Linked DNA regions of Elephas maximus indicus. The protein of the gene in region 1 purifies or fractionates together with the protein of each later gene. This does not show direct contact. Links are inferred from orthologs where the notes say so. Each region holds a gene or a part of one and is shown on either strand. Other genes may lie near its edges.

What was found.
Region 2: the proteins of LGALS3 (region 1) and SLC15A4 purify together in Homo sapiens (affinity purification with mass spectrometry; 3 studies listed by BioGRID and IntAct, counting the BioPlex papers as one, with this or other methods). This does not show direct contact. The link is inferred for Elephas maximus indicus from reciprocal best matches to the Homo sapiens genes LGALS3 and SLC15A4.
Region 3: the proteins of LGALS3 (region 1) and SLC12A7 purify together in Homo sapiens (affinity purification with mass spectrometry; 3 studies listed by BioGRID and IntAct, counting the BioPlex papers as one, with this or other methods). This does not show direct contact. The link is inferred for Elephas maximus indicus from reciprocal best matches to the Homo sapiens genes LGALS3 and SLC12A7.
Region 4: the proteins of LGALS3 (region 1) and SLC12A6 purify together in Homo sapiens (affinity purification with mass spectrometry; 3 studies listed by BioGRID and IntAct, counting the BioPlex papers as one, with this or other methods). This does not show direct contact. The link is inferred for Elephas maximus indicus from reciprocal best matches to the Homo sapiens genes LGALS3 and SLC12A6.

What each region holds. Positions count from the first base shown.
Region 1 is NC_064828.1:67,459,359-67,467,001, reverse strand, and holds the start of LGALS3 (galectin-3), read right to left. Parts: upstream 3,090-7,643; 5' UTR 3,005-3,089; intron 1-3,004. UniProt on the Homo sapiens protein: Galactose-specific lectin which binds IgE. May mediate with the alpha-3, beta-1 integrin the stimulation by CSPG4 of endothelial cells migration.
Region 2 is NC_064840.1:3,144,568-3,152,526, reverse strand, and holds the start of SLC15A4 (solute carrier family 15 member 4), read right to left. Parts: upstream 3,124-7,959; coding exon 2,563-3,123; intron 1-2,562. UniProt on the Homo sapiens protein: Proton-coupled amino-acid transporter that mediates the transmembrane transport of L-histidine and some di- and tripeptides from inside the lysosome to the cytosol, and plays a key role in innate immune response.
Region 3 is NC_064820.1:1,173,320-1,180,754, forward strand, and holds the start of SLC12A7 (solute carrier family 12 member 7), read right to left. Parts: upstream 3,028-7,435; 5' UTR 2,962-3,027; coding exon 2,808-2,961; intron 1-2,807. UniProt on the Homo sapiens protein: Mediates electroneutral potassium-chloride cotransport when activated by cell swelling. May mediate K(+) uptake into Deiters' cells in the cochlea and contribute to K(+) recycling in the inner ear.
Region 4 is NC_064828.1:23,953,599-23,961,630, forward strand, and holds the start of SLC12A6 (solute carrier family 12 member 6), read right to left. Parts: upstream 3,132-8,032; 5' UTR 1-3,131.

The DNA.
Region 1 (7,643 bases):
AACAATGAAAGACAAGCAAAAAGAGAGAGAGATACTATTTAGGTCTCCACATTTGGGAAAACTACACATTATAGCTCCGTGTAGCTTTAGAACGAGGAATTTAAACACGAGTCAGAATGTAGACCATTTTAATCGGCTGTTAATTAGTAGCTTTTCCCTTTAATAACTAGTAGCTACCCACTGCATTATGCTATTCTAGGCCCACCTAGCAATTAATCCAGTTATGTCTGGGTTCCCAGGAACACTTGTGAAGCTTCTGCTCAGTTTTAGAGCAGACCTTTACACAAGCTGTAGTGGAAGATCATAAACATATTTCCTCAGAATCCCAGGGCACTGCACCACCCTACTCCCTAAAGAACACAGGAGAGGCAGTCTACTTCCTGCTCTTGCAGAAACTCAGAGTGGGGCTTGAGGAAAGTCTATTTTCCAAAGCTGAATTCCATGATGCTGAGTTGGGATAAAGGAGACCAGTCCTCTCCTTGGATTTTGTCCTCATCATAGTTTCTCAGCATCAAGGGAGGTAAAGTTACTTTGTGCTTCCCAGTTACTGATTTTTTCCCCTATGGAAAAGCTGAACAGCAATCAAGACAGAACATATGATACTTAGTCAACAGCAAACTGTAAGTATACAGCAAGCACTGTTCTGGCAGTCTCTTCAGTTACCCAGTTGGAGTTTTATAAGAAGAACCAGTTTAGGCAACAGACACAAAGAGCTACACAGCTGCCCTCTGCAGAAGCTGTGTCCCAAGCCATCTCAGGAAAGAAAGGCTATGTTTTAGATCAGTCACCAAGAGGCTCAGATACATAAATTTACAAGCCTCTTGATACTAGGGTCAACACAAGATTGTCAAGTTATACTGTATAAATACACTTCTCTGTAGCAGTTAAGATTCAGAGTCTGGCTAATAAGGGTTCTAGGTTAAGAGTTCAGGCTACTAACCAAAAGGTCAGCAGTTCAAATCCACCAGCTGCTCTTTGGAAACCCTATGGGGCAGTTCTACTCTGTCCTATAGGGTCTCTATGAGTCGGAATCGACTCGACGACAATGGGTTTGGATTTGGCTTTTAAGTAAACCTAAATTATAGGTAAGACCAACATGAGTCACTTGACCTCGCTAGCAATAGATCAAAAGTTTTTAAGAAGCACCTATGCGTATGTGGGAACCCTGGTGGCGTAGTGGTTAAGTGCTACGGCTGCTAACCAAGAGGTCGGCAGTTCAAATCCTCCAGGCGCTCCTTAGAAACTCTACGGGGCAGTTCTACTCTGTCCTATAGGGTCGCTATGAGTCGGAATCGACTCGACGGCAGTGGGTGTGTTAGGTGTATGTGTGGCACAGCAAGCTACCCCTCAACAAACAGATTCATCTATTCTGCTTGAAAATGACTAGCTTTAGGGGTCAATCAGTCAGGCCAAACTTCCCTCTTCTGCTACTTACGTAACTTAGTGAGGCAACCTTCTAACACTTCTGAGCTATAAACATGCAAGGACCACCATCAAACTTCCCTCCAGGGTATGGAATAAATGCTGGATGTAAATGTAAACTCTAAACTCTAAATTTAGGAAGCAGCTCCAACCCCCCCCCCCCCCAAAGAACACAAATGAGGCCCAACCATCAAAGAAATCAAAGACCCCACTCTAAGGAATCAAAATTGATGTCTGAAAAGAACACAGTTTTTGTGGGAAATTAAATTATTAGTAAGCTATAACTTTCATGGGAACAAACCATTTCCTAATACAGAGAGATAAACTTTATAATCTTGAGGCAAACAAATCAGAATATTGGAAGTTGGTGAAGATTTTCTCTGATGCTCTGTGGCTAATTTTTATCTCTATCATTTTCTAAAAATTAAGTGACTCTGCCTTCCATTTCTTTCCCAGAATTCTAGAAACAGACCAGATCACTGAGGCCCAACTGTCCTCATTGTCCAGCAATCCAACTTCCAAGAGTCACTTTACAAATATTCCACAGTATCTGGAATAGGAATCTTTAAAGGGCTGGGCTGAAGCCTAAGACACAGCCTCAATCTATGTGTGCCTGACTCCCCGGCATTTAATTCCTACTCCCAGAGCGGAAGCATTTTAGTGTGAGCAACTGATAATTCAGAATAAACCCTCAAACCTATTTTAAAAGTCCCCTAGCTAGGGCTCTGCGCACTCAGACCAACATGTTGCCACACCCCACATATCCTCAGCACAGATCTGAATTCTTACAGCCCAAATTAACCCTTCTGGGTAGGAATGAGTCACTTGATTTGCAAAAGTTTAGGGCTCCCGGACTTTGCCAAACTGGACACATGCGCTCTCAGGCCTTGGGACAGCAGCGTTTTCTGTGGGGTCAGCATTCTGACAGCAAGCTGCAGCCCCTGCCTCCACGTTGCTGGACCCGTTAAAAGAACTCATTTCGCGCCCACAGCAAGATCTGCAGATGAAAGTTCGGCAGACACACAGAAGTAGCCCGGGGCAGGCAAGTCATGAGTCCCAAGAGTCGCCTTATAGAGTCCTCGGGGTGCCGGGAAAAGGGGACCTGGCTCCTAATGCCAAGCTAGCGAGGGTTGCTTGGTTTGATAACCCCTCGCAGTTCGACCTAGCCGATTGACCTGTGTCTTATCAAGCACTAGGATTTACTCCACGTCCATAAAGCAATGCTGGCAGAGGCAGCGGAGGGAGGGCAGGGTGGTTAAATCCTCCGAGGCGCCACAGAGAGTGCTCCGTGCCGCCCGCCGGACGTCCGCAGACACACCTGCCCGCTGCGTAGTGGATCTTTGTAAGTCGTTGCTAACTTTCCCCGAGTCTCAGACCCTGGAAAATCTAAGGTCATGGACCCCTCCCCAAAGGCGGTGCCCACCGGACCGCACAGGCTGGCAGAGCAAGGTGCGTCCCGCCGTCCGTGCCCAGGCCGCCGCGGTCGCCCAGGCTTGGGCCGAGCGCTCCAGAGAGGGGCCGCGCCCCTTCCCGGCCCGAGCCGGCCTGACAGGCACCCGCACCCCGCGCCCCCTCCGCTCACCCCGCCTCGGAGTCCGCTGGCTGCCTCGCTCGCTCCCGGGGCTCCTGGCCGGGCTGCGGCTCCACGCCTCAAATAGGCCGGCCCTGCCCCGCCTCGCCCGGGGCGGGGCGCCGGCCCTGCGCGCCCTGCCTCTCCCTGGGCACCAGGCTGGGCGAGGCCCGAACCCCTTCCGGGACCCGGGCGGCCGCCCCGCCGGTGCAAAAGACTCAGTCCTGTGAGGGAGTGGGGGCCGGCCAGTGGGACCCTGAAGGGCGGCGTCCCCTCGTCCCCCGCCCCAGCAGTCCCGAGATGTGAGTGTGACCACGTTCATTTTCCTCTCTCCAGACTCACTCCCACAGCTTCAAAGAGGATTGGGAGAGCTTACTGAGCTTTTAGTGTGAGCTTGTTGCTTGCTTTATTTAACCTTGTGCATTTTCTGCCTGAATAGCAAGCAGTCTCATCCCTTCTCCACTTCACTTTACTGAAACCACCTGTCAGCATCAAAGCACACTGATTTGAGTTCGATACGGAAATCCCTGTCAGAAAGTTCCTGCCGCGCAAGGTGAACCTGTCCCGCGTTCTAGGCCTTGCGTTCATTCTCCTTTCTGACCTCAGACCCGTAAAACTGTGATGTGGGCACACACGGTCCAGACTGAGCTCCCCGAATTGTTTTTGCTCTTTGCTCCCCAGTACATTCTCAGCGTCTAGTTCAGCCTCTGGGGCTAGAAGGATCTCAGTAAATTTTTGCTTAATGAATGAATGAACAAGCGAATGGATGAATCACTTCTTAGCAAGGCTGAATATCTGTTTTCTCAAAGATTGGAGAGAGTTCTGCTGGAAGACATAACAGTTAAATACAAAAATTACCTTTGGTAAAGGCGGAGATAGGACATTGCTATGGTTATATGAAAGGAGCCCTGGTGGCGCAGTGGTTAAAGCGCTGAGCTGCTTACCAGATCGGTGGTTGGAACCCACCAGCTGCTCCCACAGGAGAAAGATGTGGCAGTCTGCTTCCACTAAGATTTACAGCCTGGGAAACCCGTGGGGTCGTTCTGCTCTGTCCTGTAGGGTGGCTATGACTTGTATCCTACTCAATGGTAACCAGTTTAGTTTTGGTCTTTTCCTATGGCTGGCTGTATGAAAGGTTGTTAGAGTAAATGGCTATGCTTGCAAAGAGAGGTGGTATTTGTTTAGTAGCATTTAACTGGGTAATAACCAAGTAAAATGGTTAAGGATGTCAAGGTGGATTTTTTAAAAGTTCAGATAATAATCATAATAGCTAATATTCATTGAGCACTTATGTGCCTTGCATTACACTTAGTAGTGCTTTACGTACACATATGAAAAAAAATATGAGGTAGGTATTATTTTCATACCCATTTTACAGATGACACAACTGAGGCACAGAGTATTAGGTAAGACCAAGATCACAACATACATCAAGTTGAAAGTATATCAGACAAAAACCAAACCAAACCTGCTGCCATCCAGTTGATTCCAACTCATGCCAACCCCAATGTGTTCCAGAGTAGAACCGCTCCATAGGGTTTTCTTGACTATAATCTTTATGGAAGCATATTGCCAGGCCTTTCTTGCACTGATTAGCAGCTGATCATAAACCACTTATACCACCCAGGCTCCTTGAAAGTGTGTCAGGGTCTAAGAAATAAGCCTTTGGAAATGGAATATTCGCTACTCAACAGACTGAGGTAAAAAAAAAAAAAAAAAAGAAAATACTCATCATCACTACAACAAAAAATGCCAACAACAATCCACCAAAAGTTAATAGATTTAGTAGGAGCTGAGAAAGTCATTCAGCAATGGAAAGAATATTTGACCACAAGGTAGAATTATCTTTGAGATGAGGAAGGAGCAGGGTTGCCCTTTTGACCCCTTTGTCTCTCGTACTTTCTGTGTGATGTTTCAATTCCAGATAACACAGTCTCCTATCTCAAACTGGGATTCCGAGTCTGGCTGATAGCATATGTGAGAAAGCCTCTGGATCTGTTTGATCTGACATGTCTGGGAGCTTTTGGATCTTTGGCTAGACAAGGAAGGGCTTTTGGTGCAACGGAATGGAGTAAGGACAAAGAATCAAGAGGAGATGACATAACAATCTCAGTCCTACATGCCTCGTTTGCTGGGTTGGTGTCCCAGGGAGAAAGGATGGGGCCAGAAACTGATGGTGCTGTCTTTATAGAAGCTTTTTTTTTTTTTGAGAGAAGCTGCATCAGGGCCCAGGTGACAAAATACAGCCCTCAGGTGTGGGGCAGCTGTTCTTCCCCTTCTCCACATAGCCCAGGACTGCACTGGCTGTCAACAAATTTCTAGAGCTGCCTCCTGGGGCAGACATTTGTGTTCTCGCTCTGGAAGGCCTCTGGAAGTGCCAATGTGAAACTCCTTCATGTAGGTAGTGGACATCACCCAAGGGGCAGGAGAGCAGGAGAGCAGGGACACAGCAGATGTCCCTGGTTTGTTAGCACTAGCGAGAGTGCTCTTAGGCCAGTGGGGTGGGGGCTGCACTGAGCAGGAGAGGAGCTATGGGAGGGGTCCTGCTCATGCAAAAACAAGACTATGGGAAGCTTATAGCCTCTGGCCTGGCTAGAACTGGCCTACTGGTGGTTGTGATGTAACTTTGTGCTATAGCTATGCATGTCCTGCTTTGGGCAATGGATTCACTCAGTAAACCAAAATGGAAGTGTAATACAATCTCACTGATAGAACGTGATTGAAGGGTAGAGATTAATGAAAAGTCTGACTTAAAATGTACAAAACATAATCATTTTGTTACTCTAAAAATAATAAGGTAAATTAATATTTTTAAAAAGTGATTCACAGTGGGCTGCAATGTTCCTATGAACTTAGAAATTATGCTAGCTGACCTGAGTAACCTGGTTACTTGGGATCTTATGATGTTAGAGAACAAAGTATACATGATATATAAAGCTGTATTGCAAATGGTTAACATGCTCAGCTGCTAACCAAAAGGTTGGAGGTTCGAGTCCACTCAGAGACACCTTGGATTTCTTCCTGGTGATCTACTTCTGAAAAATCCATCATCAAAAGTGCTATGGAGTACAGTTCTACTCTGAAACACATGGAGCTTCCATGAGTCAGAATTGACTAGACAGCAACTGGTTTTGTTTTTTTGGCACTAAGGGAAAATTAGAGAAGGAAGCAAACATTTTAATTTAGAGTTTAACTCTGACCTTCCTTCCTGTTGCTGTCCCCCTTACTCACTCCACCTTGGCCACACCAGCCCTCTAGGCTGTTTATCTAGTACACCAGGCACAACGCACACTCCTGTCTTAGCATCTTGCACTGGCTGTCCCCTTTATCAGGAACTCTCTTCTCCTGTTGTTTCCTAACTCTCTCACCTACTTCAAGTCTTTGCTCAAATATCACGTTCTCCATGAGGTCTACTCTTTCCACCCCTTATAAAACTGCAGCAGGCACCTCCACCCAGTTGGACTTTACCCCTCCCTGTGGCTGAACAGTACTTCACTGTACTTACTTAGGACGTTTATTGTTTTTTTTTATTGGTTTCCCACCTGCCTCTGCTTTTACTTCCTCTCCTGAGGGCAAAACTCTTTGCTGAATTGTTTACTGATGAATCCAAGGTACATACAGCAGGCTCGCAATAAATATTTGTTAGGACATTTATGGTGTGAGCACTGGAGGAAAATCCTGTGGGTTGTTCACTTTTATTATTTTCAATACTCTTCCCTCTACTTATCTATTTGATGCCCTTTAAAAATGATCAAAATTTGAAAGAGTGAAAAATTCAATTAATAGGTGGTTTTGTTGGGAGCCCTGGTGGAACAGTGGTTAAGAGCTTGGCTGCTAACCAAAATGTTGATGGTTCTAATCCATCAGCCACTCCCTGGAAGCCCTGTGGGGCAGTTCTGCTGTGTCCTATATGGTTGCTTGCTATGAGTCGGAATTGACTTGACGCCAACGGGTTTTGGGTTTTTTTTTGTTTGCAAAAAAAAAAAAAATCCTACCTTCTCAATATCCATTTCCTGAAGAATTGACTAAAAATTTACCACTTTTTTTGGATAAATAGACCTAGTCTCAAAGCAATTCCATTAGGAAGCAATTATTAATCAACTCTTTAATATATTTTACACAGGACATTCAAGTTACTCCATATATACTCTGCTTTTAACCTCACCGTATTATTTTGTACGAGGAAATAGATAAGTTTTTTTTTTTTTTTTACTGTCAGGGAAAGTGATTTACTTATCAAAGTTAATCAATGCCTAGGGAGACAGCCCAGAGGTCCAAAGTTTCACAACTGGTCCAGGAAAACACTGAGCAAAAAATTCTGGTAGGGATTGGTTTATGTCACCCACGGAGAAAACCAGGTATAACCTGATTGCTAAATAATGCATGTGCTACCTAAAGCAACCAAATAATTCATACATTGTGTACAAATAGTTTCATCCTGTTGTCCACCATAGGAGAGAAATGTCTACGTGAAGGACTCACTAGGTGGAATTGTGAAGATGTCTTGGCACCCTCTAGGATAAATTTGTAAGTGCCTTAATGGCCGGTACTTTATTTTTCATCAATGTCCTCTCTGTAGCTTACTTGGTTTAGAGGCTTGCACAGAAATCACTGTGTGCATTGAGGATTAATTATGAAAATACAACATCTT
Region 2 (7,959 bases), on another chromosome or scaffold:
TCACACTTCTGTCATGCCACCTAGTGTCTAAGAGACGGAGAAGGACCGAGCTAACAGCGCTGTGCCATTGCTGCTGGTGTGTGTCGATGGCACCCGAGGCTTCGAGATGAATACTCTGACCCAACCACACCTATGCCGTCCCATCACAGGATGCACAGAAATCCACTCCATCCTGGTGGGCTGGTTACAGTGCAGACTAAGTAATCAGACCCGGAATTAAACCCCTGGCTTGACCACTCGCTAGCTATGTGACAATGATCTCACTCTTTGCCTGTTTCCCCATCTATAAAATGGACATAAAGATTCACGTGAAGTGCGAATGAAATCAAGTGTGTAAAACATGTGCCATGCTGCAGGAAAACAGTTAAGAATTCAATACATCAGGCAAGTGTTACTCTCATCGTCACTGTAAGGCTTCTCTCTGCTGTGTGGCTGGGAGAGCCTCCCAAAGTTTCCATAAAGCTTGGGATCTGATTCAAAGGTCAGGTTTTGAATACTGGCTCAGTCACCTACTAGCTGTGTAACTTTAGGCACGTTACTTAACCTCTCAAGCCTCAGTTTCCTCATCTGTAAAATGGGCACAATAACGCAACAATCAAGGTGTTATGTAGACTAATAATAAAGCACGCAGCACAGTGCCTGGTACTCAGTGAGCCCGCAGTAAATGTTATCTAGGGCCAGGTAACAACATAGTTACTTAGTACAAAAAACGAGGAGTCACCTCTGATGCACTTAGTACAAAAAACGAGGAGTCACCTCTGATGCCTCTTTCCCTACTACGCACATAGAATCCAAGAGCAATTCCTGCCCATCCTACCTCGGTAAATGATCCCAAATCCATCTACTTCACTCCATGTCCACTGCCTCCATTCTAAGTCCAAGTCTCTCTCTCTCTCACCTGGCCAGTTTTAACAGACTCCTACCTGGTATCCCTGCTGTCATCATTTTCCATACAAATGTACAACGGACGCTGGCAAACTTTTCTGTAAAGGGTCAAATAGAATTATTTTAAGGTCTGTCAATTCTGCTACCGTATTTGAAGGCACCCACAGTAAAAACATTTAACAAAACAGGGATGGGAAAGGCTGTGTTCCAATACAACTAATGGAGTTCGGAAGGCACATTTCATGTAATATTAGCTTGTTATGAAATACTCTTGTGATTCTTTTTCCCACTTAACAACATAAGAACCGCTCTCAGCTTGTGGGCCCTACAAAAACAGGAAGTAAAACAGATTTGGCCCGGGCCCACCGGCTAGTTTCCCTACCGGCTCTACACTTAGCCAAACTCTTAGGAACAGTTCGACCCTATAAAGGCTTCCTACAATACACAAAACACTTGACTCTTTATCCCACCTTACATATTCTGACCCCTGCCTAACAATCCTCTTTCCAGTTATCTTAAAACCGAGAGCAGCAAAAACTGGGACCTCCCTTCTCTTCCTGGCCCCAGGTACTTTGCACTTGCTGATTCCCCAGTTCGGAATCCCTCCGGTCCCAACTCAAAAGCCCCCTCCATAGTGGCCAGTCCTTCATTTAAATCCATCAATTCCTGTACATCACCCTAGGTTGGCTGCTTCCCAGCACCTATCACAACCAGTCGTTACTGCTTTTCCACTTACTTGTTCCCTTGTTTCTCACTAGAAAGCAGCTGCATGAGAGCAGAGGACACTGTCTTGTTCTGCCTATTAAGAGCAGCCTTCGGGTTTTGGCGACCCTCGGGGGCTGGCACAGGGCAGCCTTCGGGTTTTGGCGACCCTCGGGGACTGGCACAGGGCACCCGTCGGGGTTGGGCGACCCGCGGGGGCTGGCACTGGGCAGCCGTCGGGGTATGGCGACCAGTGGGGGCTGGCACTGGGCAACCGTCGGGGTGGGGTGACCAGTGGGGGCTGGCACTGGGCAGCCGTCGGGGTTGGGCGACCGGCGGGGGCTGGCACAGGGCAGCTGTCGGGGTTTGCCACCCGCAGGAGCTGGCACAGGGCAGCCGTCGGGGTTGGGCGGCCCTCGGGGGCTGGCACAGGGCACCCGTCGGGGTTGGACGACCCGCGGGGGCTGGCACTGGGCAGCCGTCGGGGTATGGCGACCAGTGGGGGCTGGCACTGGGCAACCGTCGGGGTGGGGTGACCAGTGGGGGCTGGCACTGGGCAGCCGTCGGGGTTGGGCGACCGGCGGGGGCTGGCACAGGGCAGCTGTCGGGGTTTGCCACCCGCAGGAGCTGGCACAGGGCAGCCGTCGGGGTTGGGCGGCCCTCGGGGGCTGGCACAGGGCAGTCGTCGGGGTTGGGCGGTCCTCGGGGGCTGGCACAGGGCAGCCGTCGGGGTTGGGCGGCCCTCGGGGGCTGGCACAGGGCAGTCGTCGGGGTTGGGCGACCCTCGGGGGCTGGCACTGGGCAGCCGTCGGGGTTGGGCGACCCTCGGGGGCTGGCACAGGGCAGCCGTCGGGGTTGGGCGGCCCTCGGGGGCTGGCACTGGGCAGCCGTCGGGGTTGGGCGGCCCTCGGGGGCTGGCGCAGCGCTTGCTGCCCGGTGGGCAGGGCCGGGCCGGCGGGGCGCGCGCCGGCTCACCTGGTCGGCGCCGAAGGGCGTGATGTTGGCCTTGACGGTGCCCACGCCCAGGCCCACCAGCACCAGCCCCGCGAAGGTGGCGGCGGCGCAGCGGCGCTCGGGGCTGTCGTGGCAGGCGGCGCTGGCGTTGCGGACGGGCGCCGAGCAGTTCTCCAGCAGCGCGGCCCGCAGGGGCCCGCAGAGCGCGGCGCGCGTGGAGGGCGCGGCCACCAGCGGGAAGGCCAGCATGCCCAGCAGGTAGAGCGCCAGGCTGAGCACGATGGCGCCCGCCTTGCCGAGCAGCGCGTCGGCCAGCCAGCCGCCGAACGGCGACACCAGGTAGGTGACGCCCATGAAGAGCAGCAGCGCCTGGCTGGCCTGCGCGCCCTCCCAGGAGAACGGCGCGCCGTTCAGGAACAGCACCAGGTTGGCCGTGACGCCGTAGAAGGCCGCGCGCTCCAGCAGCTCCGTCAGCAGCACGGCGCCGCACGCCGCGCGCCGGCCCGCGAACGCCGACGACGCCCGCCGCGCGCCGTGGCTCCCCGAGCCCAGCAGCGGCGTCCGCTCGCCGGAGCCCGCCATCTTCGCCGCCGCCGGCCGGGCCTCCGCGAGCCCACAGCCACCGCCCTTCTCGCGAGACCTCTCGGGCGCCCTCCCAGTGGGCGGGCTCGCCGTCGCTCAGCCGGTCGGGAACTTCCGGTTCCGCCCCGGAAGCCTGGAGAGGCCGCGGCGCTGCTTCCGGAGGGGGCGGAAGTGAGGCCGCGGCCGTGACGTCCCCTCGGTGGGTGTTTTTCAAACGAAGTCGGAGCCTGATACCCCGCTCTTGCAAGCCCTTACAGGCTGCCAGTGGACCCCTAGGACCCTGACGCCTGCAACGGCCTCGAAGCTCTGCCTGCCCTCCAGGCTGATTTCCCGGGGCTGGCCCCCTTCCCGCTGTGCCCCAGGATGTCCTAGGTCAAGGTTTATCAACCTCAGCACTAGTGACATGTTGGGCCCCATAGTTGTTTGTGGTGGGGACTGTCTTGTGCGTTGTAGGACGTTTGGCAGCATCACTGTCCCGACCCGCTAGGTGCCAGTACCACCTCCTCTGCCCCAGCCCCACTTGTGGCAGCCATAAATGTCTCCAGGAATACTAGATGTCCCCTGCGGACAAAACCGTCCCCTTTTGAGAACCACTGTCCTAGGACAAGCCAAGTTGGAGACCCTTTCAGACCTTCACAGAGCACCCGCTGTCACAAAGCTGGTATGTCACCCTCTGTCAGCTCCAGACTCAAATGTGGCCTCCTTAGGGTGACACTTCTTGACCACAGCATCCAGAGTAGGTCCCGCCTGATCACATCCCCTGGTTTTGGTTACCCTACAGCACCTGTTACAGTTTTATGTTTATTTTTTGTATCCCCCCTGGTTCTGTGTGTTCCCTGGTCCATGGACACAGGGTTCTTAGGTGTCTCATTCCTTGTCATGTCCCCAGTGCCTGGGATGGTGCCTGGCATGTGCTAAAGTGGAGTGTCTCCCCAAAGTGGACACCACCGCAATCCAAGGATTCCATTAGTTCAAATGAGTAAGACCCTTTCCCATTACTTGCTCCATCCTTACCTCCAGCTAAGACCAGGAGGGAACCATTACCTAGGGAAGCGGGGCTTGCCCTGAAGTCCTCTGATAAGGTCAGTCCTGCCAATAAGGTTTGAAGTAGCGTGATTATCTTAAAAAAAAAAAAAAAAAAGTCTGACTATGGACTGATGCCTGACATGGTGCTACGTAAATTAATATGTGATAATTTTCTAATGAGAGGATAATTGAGTGCCAGAACTCGACCTTCCCCACCCTGTCTTTTTTTTTTTTTTTTTTTTTTTTTATAATAACTTTTATTAAGCTTCAAGTGAACGTTTACAAATCCAATCAGTCTGTCACATATAAGTTTACATACATCTCACTCCCTACTCCCACTTACTCTCCCCGTCTTGAGTCAGCCCTTTCAGTCTCTCCTTTCTTGACCATTTTGCCGGCTTCCCTCTCTCTCTATCCTCCCATCCCCCCTCCAGACAAGAGTTGCCAACACAATCTCAAGTGTACACCTGATATAATTAGCTCACTCTTCATCAGCGTCTCTCTCCCACCCGCTGACCAGTCCCTTTCATGTCTGATGAGTTGTCTTCGGGGATGGTTCCTGTCCTGTGTCAACAGAAGGTCTGGAGAGCATGACCGCCGGGATTCCTCCAGTCTCAGTCAGACCATTAAGTTTGGTCTTCATATGAGAATTTGGGGTCTGCATCCCACTGCTCTCCTGCTCCCTCAGGGGTCCTCTGCTGAGCTCCCTGTCAGGGCAGTCATCGATTGTGGCCGGGCACCAACTAGTTCTTCTGGTCTCAGGATGATGTAGGTCTCTGGTTCATGTGGCCCTTTCTGTCTCTTGGGCTCTTAGTTGTCATGTGGGCTTGGTGTTCTTCATTTTCCTTTGCTCCAGGTGGGTTGAGACCAATTGCTGCATCTTAGATGGCTGCTTGTTAGCATTTAAGACCCCAGACGCCACATTTCAAAGTGGGATGCAGAATGATTTCATAATAGAATTATTTTGCCAATTGACTTAGAAGTCCCCGCAAACCATGTTCCCCAGACCCCCGCGCTTGCTCCGCTGAGCTTTGAAGCATTCATTTTATCCCGGAAACTTCTTTGCTTTTGGTCCAGTCCAATTGAGCTGACCTTCCATGTATTGAGTGTTGTCTTTCCCTTCACCTAAAGCAGTTCTTATCTACTGATTAATCAATAAAAAAACCCTCTCCCACCCTCCCTCCCTCCCCCCCTCGTAACCACAAAAGTATGTGTTCTTCTCAGGTTTACTATTTCTCAAGATCTTATAATAGTGGTCTTATACAGTATTTGTCCTTTTGCCTCTGACTCATTTCGCTCAGCATAATGCCTTCCAGGTTCCTCCATGTTATGAAATGTTTCAGAGATTCGTCACTGTTCTTTATCGATGCGTAGTATTCCATTGTGTGAATATACCACAATTTATTTACCCATTCATCCGTTGATGGACACCTTGGTTGCTTCCAACTTTTTGCTATTGTAAACAGAGCTGCAATAAACATGGGTGTGCATATATCTGTTTGTATGAAGGCTCTTGTATCTCTAGGGTATATTCCGAGGAGTGGGATTTCTGGGTTGTATGGTAGTTCTATTTCTAACTGTTTAAGATAACGCCAGATAGATTTCCAAAGTGGTTGTACCATTTTACATTCCCACCAGCAGTGTATGAGAGTTCCAATCTCTCCGCAGCCTCTCCAACATTTATTATTTTGTGTTTTTTGGATTAATGCCAGCCTTGCTGGTGTGAGATGGAATCTCATCATAGTTTTAATTTGCATTTCTCTAATGGCTAATGATCGAGAGCATTTTCTCATGTATCTGTTGGCTGCCTGAATATCTTCTTTAGAGAAATGTGTGTTCATATCCTTTGCCCACTTCTTGATTGGGTTGTTTGTCTTTTTGTGGTTGAGTTTTGACAGAATCATGTAGATTTTAGAGATCAGGCGCTGGTCGGAGATGTCATAGCTGAAAATTCTTTCCCAATCTGTAGGTGGTCTTTTTACTCTTTTGGTGAAGTCTTTAGATGAGCATAGGTGTTTGATTTTTAGGAGCTCCCAGTTATCGGGTTTCTCTTCATCATTTTTGGTAATGTTTTGTATTCTGTTTATACCATGTATTAGGGCTCCTAGGGTTGTCCCAGTTTTTTCTTCCATGATCTTTATCGTTTTAGTCTTTATGTTTAGGTCTTTGATCCACTTGGAGTTAGTTTTTGTGCATGGTGTGAGGTATGGGTCCTGTTTCATTTTTTTGCAAATGGATATCCAGTTATGCCAGCACCATTTGTTAAAAAGGCTGTCTTTTCCCCAGTTAATTGACACTGGTCCTTTGTCAAATATCAGCTGCTCATACGTGGATGGATCTATGTCTGGGTTCTCAATTCTGTTCCATTGGTCTATGTGTCTGTTGTTGTACCAATACCAGGCTGTTTTGACTACTGTGGCTGTATAATAGGTTCTGAAGTCAGGTAAGGTGAGGCCTCCCACTTTCTTCTTCTTTTTCAGTAGTGCTTTGCTTATCCGGGGCTTCTTTCCCTTCCATATGAAATTGGTGATTTGTTTCTCTATCCCCTTAAAATATGACATTGGAATTTGGATCGGAAGTGCGTTAAATGTATAGATGGCTTTTGGTAGAATAGACATTTTTACTATGTTAAGTCTTCCTATCCATGAGCAAGGTATGTTTTTCCACTTAAGTATGTCCTTTTGAATTTCTTGTAGTAGAGCTTTGTAGTTTTCTTTGTATAGGTCTTTTACATCCTTGGTAAGATTTATTCCTAAGTATCTTATCTTCTTGGGGGCTACCGTGAATGGTATTGATTTGGTTATTTCCTCTTCGGTGTTCTTTTTGTTGATGTAGAGGAATCCAAGTGATTTTTGTATGTTTATTTTATAACCTGAGACTCTGCCAAACTCTTCTATTAGTTTCAGTAGTTTTCTGGAGGATTCCTTAGGGTTTTCTGTGTATATAATCATGTCATCTGCAAATAGTGATAACTTTACTTCTTCCTTGCCAATCCGGATACCTTTTATTTCTTTGTCTAGCCTGATTGCCCTGGCTAAGACTTCCAACACGATGTTGAATAAGAGCGGTGATAAAGGGCATCCTTGTCTGGTTCCCGTTCTCAAGGGAAATGCTTTCAGGTTCTCTCCATTTAGAGTGATATTGGCTGTTGGCTTTGCATAGATGCCCTTTATTATGTTGAGGAATTTTCCTTCAATTCCTATTTTGGTAAGAGTTTTTATCATAAATGGGTGTTGGACTTTGTCAAATGCCTTTTCTGCATCAATTGATAAGATCATGTGGTTTTTGTCTTTTGTTTTATTTATGTGATGGATTACATTAATGGTTTTTCTGATATTAAACCAGCCTTGCATACCTGGTATAAATCCCACTTGATCAGGGTGAATTATTTTTTTGATGTGTTGTTGGATTCTATTGGCTAGAATTTTGTTGAGGATTTTTGCATCAATGTTCATGAGGGATATAGGTCTATAATTTTCTTTTTTTGTAATGTCTTTACCTGGTTTTGGTATCAGGGAGATGGTGGCTTCATAGAATGAGTTGGGTAGTATTCCGTCATTTTCTATGCTTTGGAATACCTTTAGTAGTAGTGGTGTTAACTCTTCTCTGAAAATTTGGTAGAACTCTGCAGTGAAGCCGTCCGGGCCAGGACTTTTTTTTGTTGGGAGTTTTTTGATTACCGTTTCAATCTCTTTTTTTGTTATGGGTCTATTTAGTTGTTCTGCTTCTGAATGTGTTAGTTTAGGTAGGTAGTGTTTTTCAAGGAATTCATCCATTTCTTCTAGGTTTTCAAATTTGTTAGAGTACAAT
Region 3 (7,435 bases), on another chromosome or scaffold:
AGAGGGGACAGGCCGGCCCTCCCCCCAGTCCTTGTGTGGTTTCATGTAAGACTGCCCAAGGCCTCCAGGCACCACCCCACGACCTGGGGGACGAATACCCTGACCACAGTGCAGGAAGAGTGAGGCTAACCCAGGTCAGCTAGCCTGTGCTCTGAAGTCAAAACCATCCACACATGCAACATAATTGTCTTCCTCACCTCCCCCTTTCTGTAAAGCAGGTCCACCTGCTGAAGGCAGTTTATACACTTAGAACGTATCAGGGAGCAGGCAGAAATAGAACGAGCCTGTCCTTCGTGGGGAAATGAGAAACTTCTTCACATCAAAACAAGTCTTCCACACCAGAAATGCTGAAGGCGTGATGGCCCGGGGTGGGTGAAGGGAACCCAGCTCCCCAGCCCCCAGTAAAGACAACCTCCAGTCATTCAGAGAGCACATCACTGGCGCCCCAGGCCCCCAGGGAGAGTGGCGGGAAAGCCCATCCCTGAGTCGTCTGAGGGGTAAGCTAAGATGCACAAATCAACATTCACCTTGGCCTTGCCCTTCCTGCCGATCAATTTCCACTGCTTTGGGAGGAAAGGGGAAACCGCCAAGGCAGGCCCAGGCACTCAAGGAGGCACACACACGGTGCCCGGGGTCACAGGCACAGCCCGCCATGCAGAGCCAGGACCCCATGGCAGGGACAGCTCAAGGTTAGTGCTCAGCCAGCATCATGCTGCCCAGTCACAGTGCCCTTGAGGCCCCCATGGCAAGGGCTGGAGAACCCACTGTGTGTGATCGCAGCCTCCCGTGGAGACCCTTGCACTGAAAACAGGGAGGGCTCTGGGGAGGGCTCCGCTAACGGGCACTCCAGTACCTTCCAGCTCCAGGTCGTGGAGGGACCTTGCCACGCCACCACCAGTCCGGGCAAACCCGAGGGCTGCCTCGATAAGCTCTGGTCAGCCTGGGGTGGGCCTCACAGGGGCGCCTGCCCCTCTGGCTGTCCCATCCTCCCCACACCACGTGAGAAGGAGCATCTTGGCCTCACCCCAGAGGCTGTGAGTGGCCCAGGTGCTTCTGAGGACCCCTGGGCTAGGGTTTCCCAAACTCACTTTACCCACAACATCTCTGAGAGGAAGGCCTCCCAGGTCCCAGCGACCCAGGCTCCCAGAGGGTTCAGCTGATCCGCAATAGAGTCAGGAATCTATTTCAGTGCGGCCAGATTTTCTGGGTCAGGTGGTATGGAAACTGGCCCTCGAATGCTCACCATGAACCTCTGTGCAATGCGGACCCCACACAACATGGACCTCAGCCTATCCTGGGTGGGAGCTGAGGAGACTGAGGCTGAGAAGGCAGACCCTCTCAGAAAGAGGGAGGACAGGCCAAGGCACCAACCTGCCCTTGGAAGTCATAGCCCTCCTCGCCCTGGCCACAGTGCTCAGCTGGCCAGCTGCCCACCGTCTGAGGCCCAGCACTGCTTCTGAGCTTGGTGGCTCCAGAGAGAGGAAGAGCGGGCAGGAGGAAACAGTCTCCAGCTGAAGACCGGTAGCAAGCTAACCAGCTGCCTAAGGCGGAGCAACAGGCAGGAGGCTGGGCCTGGACAGGTGCCCCCAGGCTCCTCTAGGAACCACAACCAGGCTGCACCACTGAGCAGATGACAAGGTGCTGGCTCTGCTGCCTCAGTTTACCTGTGCAAAACACTCTTGTTGGTGGCCTGTCCCTGACCATCCAAGGAGAGGGGAGAGTCCCACCTGCCACCTTCATGTGCAGGAAAGCCGGGCTGACCCCTCACCCACAGGAAGGGACGCCAAAAGGGGCATTCTCACCAGCGTTCCCAGTCTCCCTGAACTGCCCACAGGTGTCCTTGGCTCTGCCTGCGAGGGCCACAGGCTACAACGACCTGCACCCCTGCTTCAGAAGGACCCATCACCTGTGACCCTGCCCCCTTCCTGTCATGCTGGGGCCGGGAGCCACACAGGCAGTGTCCAAGTGTCCTCTGGGCACCCCAGTGCAATGCAGGGTGGCTACGTTTCATTATCTGGAAGTCCCTCCTCCACGCACCCCACGCTAACCTACCACGCTCATGTACCCTGCCAGGAAGGGCCCTCAGCACCCTGAACAGCACAGAGAACAAGCAGCTCGTGCAGGGACCCACCCACCAACAAAGGAAGACTGGGATGGGGGATGGAGGAATGGGCCCCCGAGGCCCACTGCACCCGACCCTGCCCTGGGGCTGTCGTTCTGTGTAAGCCTGGAGGGTCAGACTGTCCAAGGTCAGGCCATGGGGAATGGGACTCCAGCCAGCGCTTATCGGGCCCTTTGCTCACTGCAGAGGACAGAGCTCAGGCCCCCTGGGAGGAAACAGGAAGAGCCGGCAAGGGTCTCCGCGGCGCCCCACCGGGGGGGTGCTTATGGGCGGTAGAGCCCCCTCACCTGGGGAGTCTCTACAGCTGCCCCCCAACGTGCGTCACAGACCCTCCCCCACACCGAGTCGTGCCACAGAAAGTGCCCCTGGGGGTCGCCCATCGCGCAGAGGCTGGGTGCGGCAGAGGGGAGCGAGAGGAGGAGCCCACAACCGTTGAGGGGCACTACTGGGGGGGCCCGTGCCGGCAGGGGGTGCAGGGGAGAGGGCTGGGAGGTGGGGGGCCTTCAGGAGTCCCGGGTGGAGGGAAACTACGGGGGAGGAGCAGGGGGAAGCGAGGAGAACCGACGGGGGGAGACTGGAAGTGAAGGGACGGGAGCCAGCAGCCCCGCAGCGCCCCTCGCCGCCTCGCCCCCCTCGGTCCGCCCCGCCTGCGTCTGCAGGTGCGCCCCCCGCCGCCAGCGCTCACCCGGGCCGGGGCTCGGGCAGTCGGGCTCGGGCCCCGCGCGGCCCTCGGGGCAGCCCTGCGCCTCCGGCTGCCCGGCCGCCTGGTCCCCGCCGTCCTGGGCCTGCGCCGCGTCGGCCCGCGCCTCCACCGGCACCACGGTGAAGTTGGTGGGCATGGCGGTCGCCGGCGCCTCTGCGCTCCCGTCCGCCGGCCCGCGCGCGCGACCGCTCCCGGGGCCCCGGTGACCCCGCCCCGGACGGCGACCCGCCCCCAGACCCGCCCCCGGGTCGACCCCGCCCGCAGGCCGGCCCCGCCTCCCGCTCCGGACAGATCCCGGAAAGACCCCGCCCCCGCCCGGACCAACCGACCCCGCCCGGGTCCAGGTGACGCACCTGCCCACCGCCAGCCCTGCGTCCCCAGGAAAGTTTCCCCGGCCGCGCTGAGCCTCCCGGCCCCCAGGCCTGCGCGAGCGGGACCCCCCATCCCAGCCTGGCCCCGCTGCGGGGAGTCGACCCCACAGTGCCCCCTTTCCTGCACTGCCCGTCCCCCTCTCGTCAGGGCAGTCCCCCTCCCCCTGCGTTGTCACTCACCCCGCAGGAGGCATCACCCACCCCCCACACACACACACACTTCCCACCCCTGTGCAGAGGGCGCCGCGTTCCCGCACTATCCGAGGCCCACCCCGCGGGGCAGTAACCCCCGTCCTCACCCACGGTCCAACGGGCCAGCGAAGGAGAGGGGAGAGGAGCGCCTGAACACTTGTTCACAGGGAACATAAGCCGGCACCAAGTCCTGGGCTGTTACTTGACCAGGGCACTGTCTGGGGCAGCCCATGCCAGATAGGCGCAGACACCCCCAGGCTGTGGACCTGACACCCTGGGAATGATCAGGGCCTTCATTAGAGAAGGCAAGGGATGCTCAGCCGGGGGACTCAGGTGTGGCTCCTGTCTTCACCAGCCTGGTGGGTCCCCTAAGGAATAACACAAAGGACTAGGGGCAGCCACATGTCCACCAACAAAGAATTGGTCTAAAAAGTTAACCTAAAGCCACACAGAGTCACCCCAAAACCGTTTTGCAACCATAAGGTAGAAACTAGGTGTTGTGAGCCAGAATGGCCACAATATATCACAAAGTGAAAAACAAAAACTGAATGGCCTAATCCTATTTAAAAAAGCGTGTGTGTTTCTATAGGCTGAGGAGGCGGCTGGGGGTCTGAGTTCCTCTGGGCTGTGGGAAATCAGGGCTCCTCTTTTTCTGTGCACTGTAAACACCAATCTCAGAAAGCCTATTTCCAAGGAGAGACAAGAGAATAGCCTTAGGGTGGCCAGTTCCACCCTCTGTCCCTGCTGGGAGAAAGCAGGTGTTACAGAAGCCAGAGGCCTGGGCAGCTCTGGAAAGTTCCCTGGCCCCGCCCCTCACCCACACCCCAACACCAGCCAGCTGCAGAAGTTCATCCACACTCTTGCCCCCACCTTCCCCCTCCACCTCCCACCATGGCAGGGTTGGGTGTGGACAGGGACAGGAGTGGCCAGTGGGTGCTCAAGAGGGTCTGTCATGAAGGTAGGGGCCGAAGGCGGTTCTGGTGGTCTTCAGCCGCCTCTCCAGGGTCAGCAGGGATGGAAGAAGTGGGAAAGCCCCCCGCACACACACACACCTAGGATAAAACTGTTTTCCTGTGCTCTTCCCAGGGAGAGACTGGCTTTGTTGACATGATCAGAGCATTGCTCTGGGTAACCAAGGAGTGTGGGTGCTGGGGGGCGGAATTTATTACCCTGGTTGCCACATGGAGAGCTGGGGAGGTGCATCTGTGAACTCAGCACTGACGGCCAGGGCTGGCCTGGATGGTCCAGGGCCCGGTCTCCGCTTCACCCAGTTGTGTTGTAACCACAGGAGATCATCCGTGGGCCCAACCCCTTCATTTTACAGGTAAGAAAACTGAGGCCCAGGAGATACAGGTCACTTGGCAGGTGTTATGGATTGAAAAAGAGGAAGACCCTCAAGGAGATGGATTGACACAGTGGCTGCGACAATGGTCTAAAACACAGCAATGAGTGTGAGGATGGCTCAGGACCAGGCAGTGTTTCATCCTGTTGTGTGTAGGGTCGCTATGAGTCAGAACTGACTTTTTTTTTTTTTTTTTAACAAAAACAGCATGAATTGTGTCCCCCCAAAGTACATGTTGAAATCCCAATCCCTCTCCGTGTGCATGTGGCCCGGTTGGGAAACAGAGTTCTCTTTTGTTACGTTAATGAGGTCCTCGGAATGGCTCCTTATAAAGTGAGCAGAATAGCCACACAGAGAGACAGGCTGTCAAGGGGAAGTTAGATGCTATGTGAAAGCATCCCCAGGACTGCAGATGAGGAGGGACTGTCCCCTAGAACCAGTGCCCTGGTTTGGACATCTAGCCTCCAGAACTGTGAGACAATGAATTCTTGTCCTTCAGAGCCACCCACTCCTGGTATTTGTGTTTCAGCAGCCCTCGGGAACGAAGGCAGCAGTTGAGAGCTTTGTCCGGCTCTCAACAGGGAAGTCCACCTTCTCAGCCGTACAAAACCTTCCTGTTGACAACAACCAAAGACTGTGCTCGGTCCTCCAACCTTTCAGGTGTAAGAGCCAGCTGTGTACTGTTCGGGGGCACTGAGTGTCTGTTAAGGGTGATAGAAAAACCTGGAAAGGAATAGTGGCTGTGCTTGCCTAGCATGGGGAATGTCACTGAGTCGCACAAGTGAAGAATGTTCAAATGGCAAATGTCTTATTATATAGATACTTGTCGTTAGTTCCTGTCTTTTCCAACTCATGGCTACCACAATTTAAAAAAAAAAAAAAATCAGTTGTTGTGCTCATGCAAATTGTAGATGAGACCTGGGGTGGGAGCAGAGCTGCTTGTTTTTCTAAGTTTAGTGAGTTATTATAAGATCAACACCCTGTAACCACTGTCTCTCAAAAGCAAGAGCTGCCAGCCCCCAGAAACCCCAGCATGAGCCCAGACCCAGTCCCAGCCCCACTCCTCCCCCCAAAAGCAACGCTTCTTCTGACACATACAACCACTTCCTTCCATTTCTTTATGTTTTTTTCCATCCGGAGTACACCCATATACACCATAGCTGGGGTTTTGCCCATTTTTCAATGTCATGTCTTCTCCATCTCTTTATCTACAGCCTCCCCTCAACCCTTCCTCTCCTTTACAAGGTATCTGCAGCCTCCTGGGGCCTATTTGGATACAATCTATCTGTTGCAGGATGGAGCCTCCAAGGCTCTGGATACAGGCTCCCACGCTCTGGGTTTGCTGATGCCAAGCTCCTGCCAGCAGAGCATACTCCTCCTGCCTGTTTCCTGGGAACGGGCACCTGGAGCCAGAAGCCTGATGGGGTTCAGGCTCAGTTGTCACAACACTCTTAGGGGTGGTGTGTTCTTTCAATGGGATGCAAACATCTGGTTGCCACTCTTTTTGTGATATTAGCAGCCGTTAGTGCTCATGTCTAGATTTATTGATTCAGCCAAAGATGTAGAGTTGACCCTGGCTCACAATGATCCCATGTGTGTCAGAGTAGAGCTATGCTCCCGGGGTTTTCAATGGCTGATTTTTAGGAGATCAGCAGACCTTTCTTCTAAGGCACCTCTGGGTGGACTCAAACCGCCAACCTTCCCAGTTAGCAGCCAAGCTTGTTAACTGTTTCCACAACCAGGGGCTCCTTATCAATTCATCAGGGTGTGCAAAATAGTGGTTTCCTAAGGCATCATTTGCCTGCCATTAACTCACTGGAGTAATTTTCCATGGGCAGCTTCCTTGCCCAGAGTTTGGCTACTGAAGGTGCACTTCCTGCAGGTAAACCCTTGCTGCATCTCCCTTGCCCAGTGCTGTTGATTCCAACTCATAGGGACCCTGCAGAACAGAGCAGAACTGCCCATAGGGTTTCCAAGGCTGTAAATCTTTACGGAAACTGACTGCCACATCTTTCTCCTGTGGAGGGAGTGGCTGGTAAGTTCAAACTACCAGCCTTTCAGTTAGCAGCCAAGAGCTTAACCACCATGCCACCAAGGCTCCTCCTGCATCTCCCTGACTGAGCCGTTTTCAAGGTAGCAAATCGGTTTGCTATCATGCTCCAAAGGTTTTTTAAATGTCCTTATAAGCTGGTGGACTTAAACAGATGTGGTGGGCTTCAATCAGTGCCGTCATCATCCTTTTGGAAGTTAGTTGTCAACTGAGCCCCACGCCCTCAACAGACCCTTGTCAGCTCCAACAGCAGCTCTGCGGTGTGGCACCACACGCTGGGCAAGCTGGGCGCTGGGGTGGCCAGTGGACACAGTCACCGCTCCGCAGGCAGATTCGCCCATGGCCCCTGCTGCACTCCGCCACTCTGAAGTGGAAGTTCCAGTCACACTAGCAGGACGGCTGGAGGACATGTGTGCCCACTAGGGCCTTCTCCTCTGAGTCACAGACATACCGCCTTGGGGTCCTCCATTCCGCACGGGCCTTGGAGGGATGACCCTTCTCCTGAGTCCTCGGGACTAGATGTTCAGTGAATGTGCACACAGGGTTGCCAGGCCTTCAGGGCGTCAGGAAGCCGGCAAAGGGAGTGGCTACACTGTTCTTGGTGTGAACGTGTTTCTGGCATTGGGGCAGCAGGGAAGGGGCCGTGCTGGAAGGG
Region 4 (8,032 bases), about 44 Mb from region 1:
GAAGAATGAACAAATCTGTCTTAGAAGAAGTACAGCTACAATGCTCCTTCAAAGTGAGGGCCATGAGACTTCATCTTGCTTACTTTGGACATGTTATCAGGAGGGACCATTCCCTGGAGGACAACATGCTTGGTAAAGCAGAAGGTCAGCAAAAAAGATGAAGACAATGAGACGGACTGGACCAGTGGCTGCAACAATGAGTAACGATTATGAGGATGGTACAGGACCAGGCAGTGTTTCTTTCTGTTGTGTGTGGGATCACTATGAGTTGGAACCAACTTGATGGCACCTAACACCACCACCATACAGGAAAGAAAAAAAAGTTTATCACCTGAGAAGTCTTTGTAACTATTTTTATCTTTGAAAGAAACTAAATCAGGAGCATATTTACAACCACACTTACAACTCAGGTAGCTACTAATTTATTGAGAGGAACTTAAAGTAGCCAGCAAGCTGTCAAAGATTTCAGTGTTATATTCTGGGTTCCAAATCCATTAATACTTTAGTATAATTGGATGTTTTCAGCTGGATCTTGCCTTTTATGTTTATTTTAGAAAAAGAGCTGAACTGTAGCTGATCTTCTACAGTCAATGGCCAGAAACAATGACCTGTGTTTATAAAACTGTATACAACTTGTGTGTATAAGCCTAAGTACCAATGTTATCTTGTCTTCCTCCCCCTAAACAAAAATCCTCCAAATACAAAACCAAAAAGTTAAAGCCAGGCTTTAAAACTAGGTTTGTCTTCCTCTAAAGCCACTGACGTAAAAAAAAAAAAAATTTGAGGTAGGAAACATGAATTCTTGTTAACCTAAGATAGGGTAACTTATTTATCCACTTGATGCTTTGGTACCACAAATTTGGTACCAGCAATTTTATAACAGTTCTCTCTCAGGGTGAACTGTAGACAAAAGTACAGGTGCAAAAACAATTGAAGGCAAAGTTAAAGCAGTATAAAAAAAAGTTGGGGGAAAGCTAGTAAAGTTGGACAGCGTGTGTATGTGTGTGTGTGTGTGTGTGTATGGAGAGTGGTAAATAGAGGGGATGTAAGAAATAGTCAAGTACAAAGAAATAACACAAGGAGATACCACTACACACCCACCAAGGTGGCTAAAATAAAGACACCACCACCAAATTTGGTGAAGATGCACAACAGGAACTCTCAGACATTGTCAATGAAGGTGTAACTTGGTCTCAGCCACTTTGGAAATGGGTCTGGCAGTCCCCATTCAAAAAAAGCTAAACCCTTTGCAGTCTTGTCAATTCCAACTCATAGCGACCCTACAGGACACAGCAGAACTGCCCCATAGGGTTTCCAAAGTGTGGCTGGTGGATTTGAACTGCCAACCCCTTGATTAGCAGCTAAGCTCTTACTCACTGAGCCACCAGGGCTCCCCAATCCAGCAATTCCGCCCCTAGGTATTTACTCCCCAAAATGAAAACATATGTCCACAAAAAAAGACATGTACTAAAATGTTCACAGTTTATTTATAATATCCAAAACCTGTAAATATCCCAGGTGAGCATCTGCAGTAGAATGAGTAAGCAAATCGTAATACACTCATATACAGAAACAGCACCCAGGATAGGTGCAGGACAATGGGACAAGTACCTCACTTTACTTGGACATCCTGACTCCTTCTGGGGAAAGCATATTTCTTATTTGGGATATTTTTTCTTTTTAAATTCCAACTTTTACTGCAGGAAATTGTTTTCCTTTGGGTGCTTTGGCCAATGACTGTGTCAAAGCCATGCTAACATTTTTATCCCTAAACTGTTACCAGCTACAGACTGCTGAAGACAGAGGGCTTCTCTTCCAGTGTGATTTTGATCGTGACCATTTTCAAAGCACGTGAACTGGGATTGGTTGCTGGGTTGGGCCACCATGAACTCATACATCCACCACAGAGAAATACTAACACTTGGTTCCAAGAGGAGCCTGCAATACGTCATCAGTCGTTCAAGTTTGTCATTCACGGGAATCCAGGACAGCAAAGAGCTGAACAAGACCTGCTGTCTGAACAGGGGAACCTGGACCCTGGGATTCTTTTGCGCTTGCATTCCTTACTTCTACGGATGAACTGTGAGCATGATTTTTGCAAAGTGAATTGTAGGTGTGCGCCCCATGACACCTGCCTGCCCAAGAAGTGTTCCATGTGTAAATGCTGGCATGACTGGCTTCAGTGCTTTGCTCAGACATTTTTACCTGGTTGTGATAATCATGTGATAGATGAGCACCTCATGGCTTCCAGGACTCCAGAATTAATGTCATCTGCATGCACCACTCTTATGCTAGTTGGCATCTGCCTTTCTACACAGTTCTACTACTAAACATTTGCCTTTTCCTGGAAATACAAGTTTAGGTCTCATGGAAATTTCATGGCCAGTAAAGGCTGCTGCTCTAATGTTGTTAACTGACAGATGATCACTTGCTAGTTGCCTTGAAATGATGAATACACTTAAATAATGGATCCCTAACACTTCCTTAATGTGCCAACTACTTCTATCCTCTGCTTTGCTCTCCCTCCCAAAAAGCTGCATTTTCAAAAAAGTTGGCCATATCTACATTCTGTCCAAATCCTGTTCCTTGATACATCTAACTCTAAAAAGAGGTTCATATCAATGTTTTCTTTTAAACATATGAACTCTATCTTTAGATAATCTTAAGATGGAACTGATGATAAAGTTTTGAGGTCAGTCAGAATCAATAAAGAGTATCTTTGGAACAGGAAAGAAAGCATCTTTAATGGGAGGGAGGGGGAATGAGTGCTGGCGTAATAGAAATACGTGTGTACCAGGGAAAGAGGGTGGAAAAGAGAGAGCAAACAATAGACAAAGAAGAGTGGGAAAAATAAGACTGATTACTCGATTGATTAGGTAGCTAGAGAAGCAAGTTAAAACGCTAAATTAAAGGGCAAGTTTCCATCTTCTATAGAAAGTGATATAAGACAAGCTCTGTAAGACATGCCCCTTTTTCCTCAAGGTATTATAAAGAGAATGAAGCGTCCTAAGGAAAAAACTGTATGTAAATTTCCCCAACAAGATTGGTAATTTATATTTTGTCCACACAAGCCAAGTATTTTATCCGTTGTAGAAGGGAAACTGTTCACAATAAACTAGGTAATAAAACCATATATGCTGTAAAGCCCATTTTTAAAATATGTTGTGTATATGTCACTATGAGTTGAAATCAACTTGATGGCAATGGTTTTTTTAATATGTTTATGCACATTAAAAATTGGAAATAATATTGACCAAAAAAAGAAATACAACTCCAGGATAAAAAGGAATAAACTAATGTTTCATGCAACATGGATGAACCTCAAAAACATTATGGTAACTGAAAGATGCCTTAAACAAAAGAGTACATAATGTATTATATATATTATCCCATTGATATGAATGAGGTTCTAGAATGGGCTAAACTGATAGTGCAAAAAAAACAAAAGAAAACCAGGACGGTGGTTTCCTGTTGTTGTTGTTGTGCGCTGTCAAGTCAGTTCCGACTCATAGCAACGCTATAGTACAGAGTAGAACTGCCCCATAGGGTTTCCTAGGCTGGAATCTTCACGGGGGCAGATCACCAAGTCCTTTCTCCTGATGGGTTTGAACTAGCAACCTTTTGATTAGCAGCTGACCACTTAACCACTGTGTCACCAAAGCTCCTTTGGTTGCTTCTACTCCTTAAAAAGCCCATTGCTGTCGAGTCGATTCCACCTCATGGCAGCCCTAATGGACAGAGTAGAACTGCCCCATAGGGTTTTTAAGGAGCTGCTAGCGTGTTCAAACTGCTGACTTTTTGGTTAGCAGCTGAGCTCTTAACCACTGAGCCACCAGATGGCCTCTAGAGGGATGGAAGGGCCCCTGGGTGGTACAAGTGGTTTGAGCTTGACTGCTAACCTAAAGGTTGGCAGTTCAAACCCACCCAGCTATGCCATGGACTAGAGGCCTGATGATCTGCTTCAGCTGAGAGTTCTACTCTGAAATACACAGGGTTGCCATGAGAAAGAATCAGCTTGATAGCAGTGGGTCAGCTAGGGGGATGCAGGCGGAGATTAGCTGGGAAGGGACATGAAATAACTTTCTGCAGTGATGATAATGTTTTATATCTTGATAGGATTTAGGTTTCCACAGGTGTATATATTTGTCAAAATAGCCAATGTCCACTTAAAACGTGTGCATTTCATTGTATGAAAATTTTACCTCAAAATAAAAATAGCTGCAAACAAATACTGAATTCTAATGAACATATTTTTTGAAGTATTTGGGAAAAGTGAACTGATATCTGCAATTTACCTTAAAATACATAAAAACAGGATAGACAGATGGATAGATACATGACAGGACAATTAAAATAAGACATTTATGGTAGAATCTGGATGGTGGGTATATGGATGTTCACTGTAAAAGTCTTTCAACTTTCTGTATGTTTAAAAATTTTTGTTATACAGTGTTGAAAAAATACAGTGAACTGACACCATTATGAAAATGAACACATACTTGACAAAGGACTTGTACTTAGAATATACAAAAAAATAAAGAATCGTACAACTCAGTAATAAAAAGGCGACAGTGAAACTTATTAATAAAAGTTAAAATAAGTTCATAAAAATTTTTGAACAAGTATGTTTATAGTAGCTGTATTCATAACAGCTCCAAACTGGAAACAGCCCAGGTATCCATCGATAAGATAGATTAAAAAACCTGTAGTATAGTCACACAATGGAATATTACTCAACAACAAACAGCGACAAATGACTGATACATTCAACAACATACATGAATCTCAAAATAATTATGCATTATATATTATACATTAATGATATGGATATTGAAGTGTTTAGATGGATTGATGGTATGTGATAAGGCAAATGCAGCAAAATATTAACTACAGAATCTAGGAGTGAAGATATGGGTGTTCACTATACAATTTTTCCAAGTTTTCTATACATTTGAAATTTTTCATAACAAAACACTGGGAAAAAATACAATGAACTTGAGTCCAAATACCTAAAGATTTTTAGATTTGAGAATAAAATAAATCACTTAAGAGTCAAATTCCATTTTATATGAAATTTGGGGGGTTGCATAAATGTTTTTCTTGTACTTGGAGTCTAATCTTGAATGCTGTTTAAAATGAGTGGGGACAGAGTTGAAATTTTACAGTAAAAAAAATTATTTTTAAGTAGTAAGATATAAGAGCAGATGAGGACAAAGGGGGCATTTACAAATGGTATTACTCAGTGTTTTATAAAAAAAAATTATTTTTTATTATACATTAGGCCAAATATTATAAATATTATATTGGTTTTACCAACTAGTTTCAGTGAAATAATTTGTGACTCTAATATGTTTGTTAAAAAAAAAGTTAGTATGTCCATTTTTCAGAAGAACGGGTCTATTTTGGGTAGTATTTTGAAAGTACGACCTACTATGCTACATTAACCAATTATATATTTTTAATCACAGCTCATAACTTATGGTAACCAGCATTTTGTCTTATTCAACCAATTTATTAAAACAGGAAAAAGACAAGTTAGATTTCGTGAAAGGACTGAAACAACTAAGGGAAAGTCAGTGCGAAATTTTGAACATAAACATTCTCTATCAGATTGTAACACAGTTATACTATAGCACGAAAAATCACTGCCACATTTAAAGCAAGTCGTATGTATTTTCTCTTGGTTTTCAGAAACTGCAAACTGCATCATGCAATTTAAACCTATACAAATAATCTAGAGCCACACGATTTCATAGCTAAAATCAGTCTTAAAAAAGACCTAATAACCATTAATGCTAAAAATGGATCCATGGTGCAAGAAAACTTCTATAATAAATGGACAGTAGTTGAAATTCCTGGAATTAAAAACCGCATGTATTTTGAATGCTTGAGATGTACCGAATGTCATCCTCGAGAGTATCCTGTATACATGATGTTAAGGTTTTAGTAATAAAGTCAACAGTATTCTTTTTTAAAAAACGGAATTAAAGCTTTATCAAAGGTACTAGTATATTAATAAAAAACTGGAAAAGTATAAAGTAGAACACATTCCACGAGCATACAAAATGCAGCCTTATTTCATCTTATCTGTTTATACTTTTTCACCGAATTTCCACGGATATTACTATCACACACACACACACACACACACACACACGATGAGAATTTACGTAAGTACCTTATGAGAGAGACATACATAGAAAAAGTTCAACAGGAATACTAAGGAAAGAGCAAATAATTCTGAGTTGGGAACAGACTGAAAATAATAAAGACCTCTCCTAAACTCAATCCAATGCCTGTAGTTTAAAGACACCATTCAAAGCTCATTCACTATCGAGATCTAGCCATACTAGCGGAAACCTCTGAAATTATAACCAATTAAGACTTGCATGCCCACAGTATTTGTTACTACAGGCAGTCCCTGGATTACGAACATCCAATTTACCTACAACCCGTAGTTACAGGCCAACCCCCAGAAGGCCTGTTATACTGAAAATCCAAGGTATGTACAACGGTTCGTAATAACAAATGGGCACTACTTTTCAACACGCATCAAACATTGTTATTATTACTGTATTTTTATGTTAAAGATGTTTTAGTGTATCTGGAAGTGTTTCTTTAATTTTTTTTTTATGCGTAGAAAGGTACACTATATACTAAGACAAACATCTGACTGACGTTGGATACTATTAACTGTTCTGACTTAGGTACATATTTGACTTAGATAGATTTAGGTACAGATGTTGTTAGTAATCCAGGGACTGCCTGTAATGGTGTTTTTAAAGAAATAGTAAAGAAGGAAGAAATTACTTCTAGGTAGTTGCTTTTAATGTAGTGAATTATTACTTTAAAATATTTAGGATGGATATCCTTATCGAATAATTGTTAACCACTGGCCAGGAACTAAATACAAGTTAAAAAACTAACCACAAATGGATAATAAACAAAATGTGGTATATATATATTTTTATTATTAAACAGACATGAAATTGCTCCATAAAACTGCTATGCACGTTTCTAAAAACTCCCCATTTCTGAACTTATCTCCTCAGAAACAGGTAATAAATAGTTCATGGGCCTGCAACGTCTGCCATACTACACTCTGAATATCTCTGTGTTAGAGACTGCTGTAAATATTTTAGAAGAAAACACTGAGTTTACTACTTAAATTTAGAGTTACTGCTTTTAGCTGGGGCCTGAAAAGTATACTGACCCTCTTTCTCAACTAGAAAATGTATATACATTTTCCTTATTTACTATATTCAATAGACATTTTTTTCTCTCTCATACTAGGACGGTAAACATTAGTTTAAAAATAATAAAATGACCACAAATTCTAAATTTTGCCTTACTGCATGGCAGTTATTGAAATAATTAAATGAATGTGTCAATTAGTTTGGAGACCAACTATTGTCTATGAAAACAGGCTTTTATAAAATGCTATCAATGGTAAATATATAATCAACTTTGCGACAAACAACTGAAAGATAGTAAATATGTAAAAGACACTGCTTTGTAGAGGATTTATAATATTGTAGAATAAGGAAGGCAAAGAGTTCTACAAGTTAAAGCACCAGGAAAATCTCATACTCTGATGAGGTTGAAAGAATAATGCATTTGTTCAATATATATTTGACTGTCCCTTTTATGCCAGGAAAGAGGAATGCAATGATGAACAAAACATCATTCCTGCCCTAACGGAGCTCTCAGTCTTGGTATTCAATTAATTGTATAATAAATAAATCATATAGTCAATAAAATATACTAATTATATAATAAAAGTCAATATAAAACAAGGACAATAAGTACAATACAGCTTAAGTCCAGAAAGAAGCCCGAGAGCATAACATGCCACCACCTTTCCCAGCTACTTCTTCAGGAACCTGAAGTTTCAAGAATTCACTAGAGGAAAGAATGTAGTAGGGCAGTTGATGGCTAGCTAACTTGATAGATACTTCAGCCCTTTTGGCTGCTGCCCCAACTATTAAAGGGGGCATTAACATTCGAGTAGTCAGAGCCTTCAGCTTCCACT